Solanum lycopersicum: one gene and its partner. The main gene of each other region encodes a partner of the protein of the gene in region 2 in a complex. Links are inferred from orthologs where the notes say so. Each region holds a gene or a part of one and is shown on either strand. Other genes may lie near its edges.

Region 1 (4,288 bases), on a different chromosome or scaffold from region 2:
TCTAAGTGAGCTTTTATCTATCAGCAGATAATGTTGTTGTTATTTTTTTTGACAAATATGTCTTTGTTTCTCTCGTATTTTGTTTCATTTCTCCCTCAATAGTGTTCAGTGGTGATGCTCAAAAAATATACCAAGGGACATCTGCTTTTCGCTTATGTGATACCCCCTTAGAAGATTAGGTGCTCCTTTTCCATCTGAAGTTTCGAGAAGTTTCTTCTCGTATTTTCACTTGTAGTGGAATCAGGGGTGTATCCTAAGAAGGAGGGGTGTCAATTCACGTGTGTTTCAATGTACAACTCCCAATCTTCCAAGGTCCATCTTGTGTTCCAATTTAAAGCATTGTTTTCTTTTTCTTACTTGGTTTTATTCTTTCAAAATTCCCAAGTTTTAACATATTGAAATCTCTATTTTCCTTGTATAGTTGTGAAATTTTATAATTAAGGCAAATGTCTATATTAAATCTAGTCATAGTGGAGGATGTCACATATATTCAATGGGTTTAACTAATCATAGATCTTTGTGAAGAATTACTAAAATTTAAAAACAAATCGAACATTGGTTCAACTTATCCCAAAACCTATCAAATTTAAACCCTGGATTCGCTATTGATCATAGTGGTTGATATCCTAGATTGGCCCCATGAGTAGAATGTATTTATTAGAATTGCTTTTTGCAAGAGTTGTTGTGTGTTGAGGAATGGTTTTCTAATGATTGTAAAAGCAGCTGACATTGGTTCTCTGTTGATTGTGTTTTAGGCGACGAGACGGACCATCCCGTTCCTATTTGTTCGTGGAGATGGTGTGATTCTGGTGTCTCCTCCACTCCGGACTACTTGATGAGGAGAGGCATCGTGGTGTATGAAAATCTGCAAGCACGCTATATTTTGTTTAAGGTGCTGCAGTAGACTATTGTAGGTGGTCTGTGATTTTGTCTAGTACATGTGTTTTGCAAAGCACAAGATTAGTAATGTTGAAATCCTATAGCATTGGATATTTGTGAACCGTGCTGCTTCTGTTTACTTAACTCTAGAATGAGACAAGAAGTGTCTGTTTGGATTGGCTTATGGCTGTCAAAAGCCATAATTTGTGATTTTTAACAAACACCATGAAAGTGCTTTAAAATACAATTTTTTTTATTCAAATATTATGAAAGTGAAAAATATAAGTTAATCCAAGTAGACTGGGTATTCTTATTCGAATTTTATAGGATTATATGCCATATTGTTGTCGTCAAATATTCCCTATTCCACTTATGTTGCCATTTTTCACCCATCGCCAATTCAACTTTTTCTTCTTGAAAAATTATTTGAACATGGAATTTGTATAATTTTCCATTTTAAATTTCTAAAAACTTCAAAACTGTTTTTACACAAAAAAATAGACTTCAATTTGTGTTCATAAATCTTAATTTTCAAGTATCAACTTAGAAATTATTCCAGAGAAAAAAAGTACTCCTTAGTTGCAAGCAATTTATGTGATACATTTTTTATTTCGAGATTCAAACAAATTTAATTTTTTATCATAGACATTATATATATATATATCAATTATTTTGACTTGTAGTGTTTTTTAAATCTAATTTAGAAATACATAATAATATAAAGATTTTATGAGCAAATATTGGGTCAACCCGTCTTGAAAAATAAAATGTAGAAATTGGGATTCGTATATAAAAATTGTAAAAACCTAGGAAGAGAAGAATTGTATTTGGGGCATTTTGGCAGCAAATAACAAAGAAAAAAAAGAGTATTCTCGAAAGATGAAGATGAAGGAGCAAGTAGAATCTTCACTAAGGGCAAAGCTTAACCCTTCTCATCTGGTAAATTCTCTCAAATATACACATATCTGTTGTTAACTTGATGAGTTTGTGTTCGTTTAATTTGTTCATAGCAAATCTAAACCAAATAGGTTTATCAGGATTTTAGATTTTGTTAAACCTTGTCAGTTGCAATTGTTAAAATTAACTGACAAAGGAAAATAAGTGATAAACATTGGGAAATCTCCCAAATGCTGAAATTTTGGTTGTTATGAATTAATAGGTCAAAAAACACATCTTTAAGTTTTACATTTTAATTTATTAAAAGCAAAATTCTAACTTCAAATCTGCCTTGATTGGATTGTTTCACTATGAAGATGATATTAGTTGGATTTGGCACTATGTAAAACAACTCTGAGTTAGCTACTCCTTAAGAACGAAGGCTGAAAATTTAAAGAAGTCAAGTAGGTGTCACCTACGTAAAAATGAAGGGCCAAAGATAAAAAAGTAGGTCCATCACCTACTTAAAGGCTTATGGCCCAAAGATACGGACCAAAAGGGGGCTGTCTTGGGTCCGCCCAAGGCCCATCTTTCAAGTCCATTAAGGACTATATAGATGTATAAATAACTCCATGGATTTATTTGCTTGAGCTATGTGCTTCACCGACTTGCTTTGACATCCTAGTTGGTTGATCTAGTTGGTTAGATGTCCTAGTTGCTTAATAAGAGCAACCCACGTGTTTAAGGAAAATTAATGACCTACTAGTCTAAGTATGTGACTAGTAGGTGTATCACCTCTTTAGAACAAAGGGCCAAAATTTAAAGAAGTCAAGTAGATGCATCACCTGCTTAACTCCCTGGTTTATTGGCTTAAGTAGGTGATGCAACTACTTGTCTTATTTACATCTGGAACTTCGTTCTTAAGTAGGCACCTACTAGTTACTTGCTTAGACTAGTAGTTTATTAAATTTCCTTAAGCATGTGAGTCGCCCTTGATTCAAGTAGCTCAAGTTACTAGGATGTCAAATAAGCAACTCAACCAAGTAGGACTTCCAACAAGTAGGTCGTCTAAGCAAATAGCTCACAAGTGGGCCATTTGCGCAAGAAGGTGAAAATGGTACATTCCATGGTACATGTGTTTGAAGTGAGGGAAAGGCGAGTGAGCTATAGTTCTTTTTTTTTCCAGTTTCTCTTTGTATGAGAGAATTTCCTGATGGGAAAAAAAGTGCAAATATACCCAATACGTGTATTTGTGTTATATCCTTCCTCTGTTCACCTTTCGGGTCAAAGGATCCCCCACAATTATCTTTCGTATGAAATGTGCCCCTCCACCTTGAAGAGTTGGTCAGCCACGTAGGGTATATTTGACCTTTTCAGTTGTTTAGGCTTTATAGACTTCTTCAATTGTAAGGGTATATTGGTCTACCTGGCTCTATCGTGAAAAAGATAGAGCCGTGCTGGACAGTCGTAAGAGGGAGGGAAAAATATGGGACGGAATTAGTGATTTGGGGCTTTCATGGACCGGAAAGGGAAGTAAACGCAGGCAAATGTTAGACAAACCTAATAGTCAGTGATAAAGTTGAACCTTTCCTTGATTTTGATCACTAGCCTTAAATTGCCAGTCTTGGAAATGAACAGTGTTAGAACATTTAACATCTAATGATTTTCTAAAAAAGAAGCTAAACTTGTTGAAGTGTTTTTTACAAAGGTGCTTTAATAAGTCCTTATCTCAAGAGCATATACCATCATAGCAAGATTTCAGGTACATCAATGGTTGGGGAAGGAACTTAGGTGATGTTTGGTTGGGAGTAGTGGAGAAAGTGATCTCCACTTATACTTAGTGTTAGTATAATGTTTGGTTTCATTCTTCCTTTCCACATAAAATTTAGGATATTTATAATACAATTTTTGTTTCCACTTCTCTTGTCGCATAACTGATATCCTCTTTAAGTTATGCGGGTATCGATATATTATTTTATGCAAGATAAGAATGCGGGGATAGTATAATATGGAGTAAAATTACGAGATGACAAAAATAACCCTTCACGTGTTATCCAATATTTATTTTGTCAAAAGAATTTAAAAAATATTTTTTAATATGCACTTTAGTATAACAAATCTAACATCCATTGAGTAAATAATCCTTCCACTACAGTTCTTGTATTATAACCTTAACCTTGCATTTCAATCCCTACATTACAATCTCTACATTGCCATCCATGCATTTCTAATTCCCCTGTAACTTGCTTCTAATCCAAACGACCCATTAAAGCATTGTGGTACCTGAGATAGTTGCTCTTTACCCGGAATACATATATGAGCTACCTATTATTTATGTCAATAAGAGATGCTATACTAAGATTTCAGGTACATTAAGGGATAGGTGGAAGAACCTCAAAGCATTGAGGGACCTTAGAGTTTTTCTTTTCCTGGAATACATATATGAACTACCTTTATTTCGTGTCAATAAGAGAGACGCCTGTCATGTAGGTTGTAAATCTTCTTTTTGTATCTAATTTAAGTGTATGCCAAT
Region 2 (4,343 bases):
CCAGAGCTTTGTAGATGAGAGGCACCGTCATAGATATGAGGTACACCACTTTTTTTTCTTCTGTAAATTGGAACAGTGGTGTAACTATTGCACAGCTAGGTGGACTGGTTTAACTATATGTGGACTATAAGATGTGATATCTTTAGCAAGGGACGTATGCTCAAAACTTATTTTGTGCTGTGTAGGTGAATCCTGATATGGTGCAGCAATTTGAAGATGCTGGCCTTTCTTTCACTGGCAAAGATGAAACTGGTCGTCGCATGGAGGTGAACCTTTGTCTGATTGTATTACGAATTCATGCTAGATACTCGTAGTATTATTGATTTAATTTTCTATTTCTTGTACAGATTGTTGAGCTGCCTAATCATCCGTACTTTATTGGCGTTCAATTTCATCCTGAATTTAAATCAAGGCCAGGAAAACCGTCTGCCGTGTTCTTAGGTATTCCTCCCTGCTTTATCCTTCCGCTCATAGCCAGCTAGAATACCTGATGCTTACTTTGGAACTTTGGAAGTATCATTTCAACATTTGTATTTGCATTTCAATATGTGGCTCGCTTCTAGTTGATCCAGAAAAGTCAATGTATACAATCTTAGATTATTTGATTTGTAGACATAAAACTAACGATTGGTACTTTGAAGGAATTAAGTGAATGAAGGTCTTTTTAACCGTGACGTCCAGCTCCTAATGGTTATGAGTAGTCTCTTGTTTTGAATGTAATGCTCTTCGTTATGATGTGTTATTCCTATTTCTCTGAACAGGGCTTATAGCAGCAGCATGCGGGCAGCTTGATTGTCTCCTGAAGAAGGGTGGAACACCGACTCATGGACTTAGCAATGGTACAGCATCTGGCGAAAAATTGCATCGAAATGGAAATGGAACGACTCTTGCCAATGGATCTTTAGATGGGATTTATCGCAATGGGAATGGTGTACATGTCTAAGGAAACAGTAAAAACACTATTGGGGTCAATGGCCTTGTGATCGATCAAATTTTGCTAGTGCCTTTCTTCCAGTCGATATGTATAGGTTTTACAGCTTCTCTCGTTAAGGCTATCTAGTTATAGAGCTAAATTCCGGTCTTTGTTACGGAGTTGTAGCGGCAGCAAGTTTAATTTAGGCATTTACTTTGAACGATTAAAAAACTCTTTTGATTACCTGCTCCAACATGAAACTTGTGTTTGGTAGTAAAAGATTGGATTGCTCCTAATTCGATCTTTATGAAGTTCTTGAGATGGCATCTCTATCCACTTTAAGTTTTTGTTGATGTTCTCTTTATACCTACCTAAAATTATTTCGCTAAAAGGCTAGGGGAGAAGCCAACTATTTTGTTTGATTTTCCATATAACAATTGCCTTCTAGCAAAAATAGACTTTTAAACAACACTAGTACAAATTTATAAGGAATTATCTTGGGAGTAACGACAAAGAGTATAAAAAATTTAATACGGCAAAATTACAAATGAAGTTAAGTTATCGCATTTTTCTACTATTAAATTGATAATTTACTCTTTTTTTTTTTTGGGTGGGTCTTTGTAAAGTAAATCTACGGTTATGAGCGCTTGACTGTTTAATGGCATAGGGATAGATTAGCGCTGATTCGTGTGAAAGAAGACTTCACAGGAAAGTGAGGATGTCGCTCGGAATTTCGCTTCAATGGCAACTCCCCTCCGTTATCAGGAGTACTACAACCTCGGCAGCTCAACGTACGACCGATGTCTTTCTGTCGTTTCCTACGGTTCATTCCGGTCGTGCTCTTCAGAGCTCGGCCATTCCCAGTAGCTCAATTGCTACCGGCAAACGGGATGGACGGTTAAGATCCCTTCGTTGTCTATCTGGTAAAATTTAATTTCGCATCATCATATATTCCAACTTATAGGGTTTTCAATCGTTCTGTGCTTATTTCTTCCACTGCAATTATTTTAGTACTACTTTCTCTGATTGAAGGACGGAGAAATCTAAACTTTTTTATGGTGTTGGACGTAATTGCTTTCTGCTACGTTAATTAGTTGTATATTAATGCATTTTCTGTTAGTAGTAAGTTATACTATCAGTTTATTGTCATGTCTAAATTATGTTTCTTAAGCAGAATTCGGGGTTGTTTCATTTGACGAAAAAGTGAATCTTTAGATTCAAATTTAGCTGTCTATGATGTAATTCTTATCCTTATTGCAAATTGCAAACAGAGTAAATAGCTGAGTAAGTAAGTTACCCATTATTTTAAGCATCTATCATAGTAGGCCAAGATCCCAAGTAGAAATACTTGGCCAGTTAGACTTAAGTTCTTACCAGTCCTCTATGGGGAGCTTAGTCTCCTAGGTGGAGAGAAAGTTTAAAGTTTTGTGCAAGGTATGTTAGATATGAATAAGTTTGTTGATAGTCTATTTGGTGGTAGAAGCTCACTTAGAATGAAAGACCCTTAATTGCTAGCCGGAGCAATTAATGAGGCAAGACTTAGAGGGAAAAGATCGTATTTGAGGATATTGCAAGTCTATTATGTTGGCATTCTTTGTCGTTACTTAGAAAAGTTGTGATGGCAAGGATGGACTTGTTGAAATAGAAATCTTTGGTAAATTACATCCTATCAATCAGGCTTTTGAAGAATGGATGTTTGCTTGATGGTTTTAAGTAAAGGATACATATAACTGTACTATCTATCAATTTATGCCTACAAAAGAGTGTCAGAGAAATCTTCCCCCAACCTTATGGCTACTCCAGGTTGTGTGCATCTATGTTCTTGTGATGTTATGTTATACAGGGCGTCCTTTTGCTCATTTTGTGTTTATTTATCATTGCATATTTATATATTTCTCTTATTATGCTTGGAATGTACAACTTATGTTTTCATTTAAGAATAGCCGAGGTAGTAAGTCACTCATCTAAGAATTGCTGACATGTGTTTTATTCACTTTCATGTCTTGTAGCTCTGGATCCTAACTTGAAGTCTACGCTGGATAAGGTTGTCACATCACAAAAAATCGTGTTGTTCATGAAGGGGACCAAGGAATTTCCTCAATGCGGATTCTCAAATACAGTGGTTCAGATATTAAAAGCACTAAATGCACCCTTCGAGACACTAAATATCCTTGAAAATGAAGCACTTCGTCAAGGATTGAAGGAGTATTCCAGTTGGCCAACCTTTCCACAACTCTACATTGATGGAGAGTTCTTTGGTGGCTGTGACATTGTTGTAGGTAGGTATACAAATTGATACTTCAATATGCATCAGAACTTTTGAATTATTTGCACCCCTCGACTCTTTATGTGTACCTGCTACCTCCCACCAACACAGTTACAAGTAACTTTGCCCATCAAAGTTGAGGTAGATGGGAAGAGATCATCTAGTGTCTTTTGTGTTTGCCTGGATTCTAATCTTGGTCCCTAAGAACAGTTTTTTGTGTTTTTAGGTTATGTTACCAAACTGGAAGGTGTAGTACATGGTTTATACTTCCTTAGTTGTTTACTATGTTGATGAACTACTGTCAAGTTGAAGTTTTGTTCTTAATATGGTGAATCATCATAACTCTTGAAATTGGGGATTGAGCACTTTGTTGCTGAGAAGAACTGGTATAACTACCATAAATAACTTGGACAGAATGTAGAATTCTCTGTACTCAGTAGTCAATTCAACCTCCTACACCACATAGTTCACCTTGTCGATCATATCTTCTCTTCCCCAAACACGCAACTGCTAAGCTGATCCTTTTTTCCATTCGTTCACATCCTTTGAAGTCTTTAACTGGTTTTTTTAATACCAAGAAATCTGTCTGGATCCTGCCCTTTGGACCAACTGCGGCCTTTGAAAAATGGGGATAGTGGGCCAACCTTAAAATGGCTTCTCTTTTCAATTTTTTTTTAAAAATGTGATGGGTAAGAAAATCTTTGCTACCTCTTGAGTCTTGCATCTAGATTGCTAACCCTATTGTACTTTTATCAAATTGCTCTCTTATTGCCAAGTTCCTCAATGTAAGGTCCCTAATTAGTAATATCTATAAGTTGACTCTATATGAGAACACAACAAAGGGATTGTATCCCAAATGTTCCCTAACTGCCTTTCTAATTAGGAAGGTTTTCCATATGGATGGGCATTCAAGAATTGTCTAGATATGACCTGATTCATTGCAGACATCCAAAGAAAACATATTCTAGATATCTTTGGCTGCCTCATAGTGTAGAAAAAGCTGTTTACTGATTTTGCTCATGGAATGCACATGTAGTTGCCGCTGCTCCACATATTCGCCCTTTTGTTGTTTGATAATCTTGAGTTATTACAAGTTCCATACTATTGTCCACCCAAAGAAGGCTACTTTTATGGCAGATTTTGTCTTCCGGATGAACTTCCACG

Evidence for each region. The genes of interacting proteins can lie anywhere in the genome.
Region 1: the proteins of glutaredoxin (region 2) and protein BOLA2 are in contact, whole or in part, in an NMR structure (PDB 2MMA), measured with the Arabidopsis thaliana proteins. The link is inferred for Solanum lycopersicum from reciprocal best matches to the Arabidopsis thaliana genes CXIP1 and AT5G09830. Residues at the interface, in NP_191050.1 of Arabidopsis thaliana: Lys130, Ser133, Asn134, Trp135, Pro136, Thr137, Glu146, Phe147, Phe148, Asp152, Ile153, Glu156, Ala157, Thr160, Glu162, Glu165, Glu166; in NP_568217.1 of Arabidopsis thaliana: Arg46, Leu47, Leu48, Arg50, His51, Arg52, Asn55, Met62, Ile65, His66, Ala67, Leu68, Ser69, Ile70, Lys71, Gln74, Gln78.

Annotation. Positions count from the first base shown.
Region 1 is NC_090810.1:868,399-872,686, reverse strand, and holds the start of protein BOLA2, read left to right. Parts: upstream 1-1,359; 5' UTR 1,360-1,758; coding exon 1,759-1,818; intron 1,819-4,288. Other genes in the region: sm-like protein LSM3A, read left to right, coding at 756-836. UniProt on the Arabidopsis thaliana protein: May act either alone or in interaction with glutaredoxin as a redox-regulated transcriptional regulator, or as a factor regulating Fe-S cluster biogenesis. The GRXS17-BOLA2 heterodimer binds a labile, oxygen sensitive iron-sulfur cluster.
Region 2 is NC_090801.1:62,097,748-62,102,090, forward strand, and holds the start of glutaredoxin, read left to right. Parts: upstream 1-1,521; 5' UTR 1,522-1,631; coding exon 1,632-1,836; intron 1,837-2,922; coding exon 2,923-3,192; intron 3,193-4,343. Other genes in the region: uncharacterized protein, read left to right, coding at 1-40, 186-266, 348-441, 762-943. UniProt on the Arabidopsis thaliana protein: May only reduce GSH-thiol disulfides, but not protein disulfides. Probably involved in the regulation of the redox state of the BOLA proteins. May act as Fe-S cluster donors to Fe-S cluster-requiring proteins.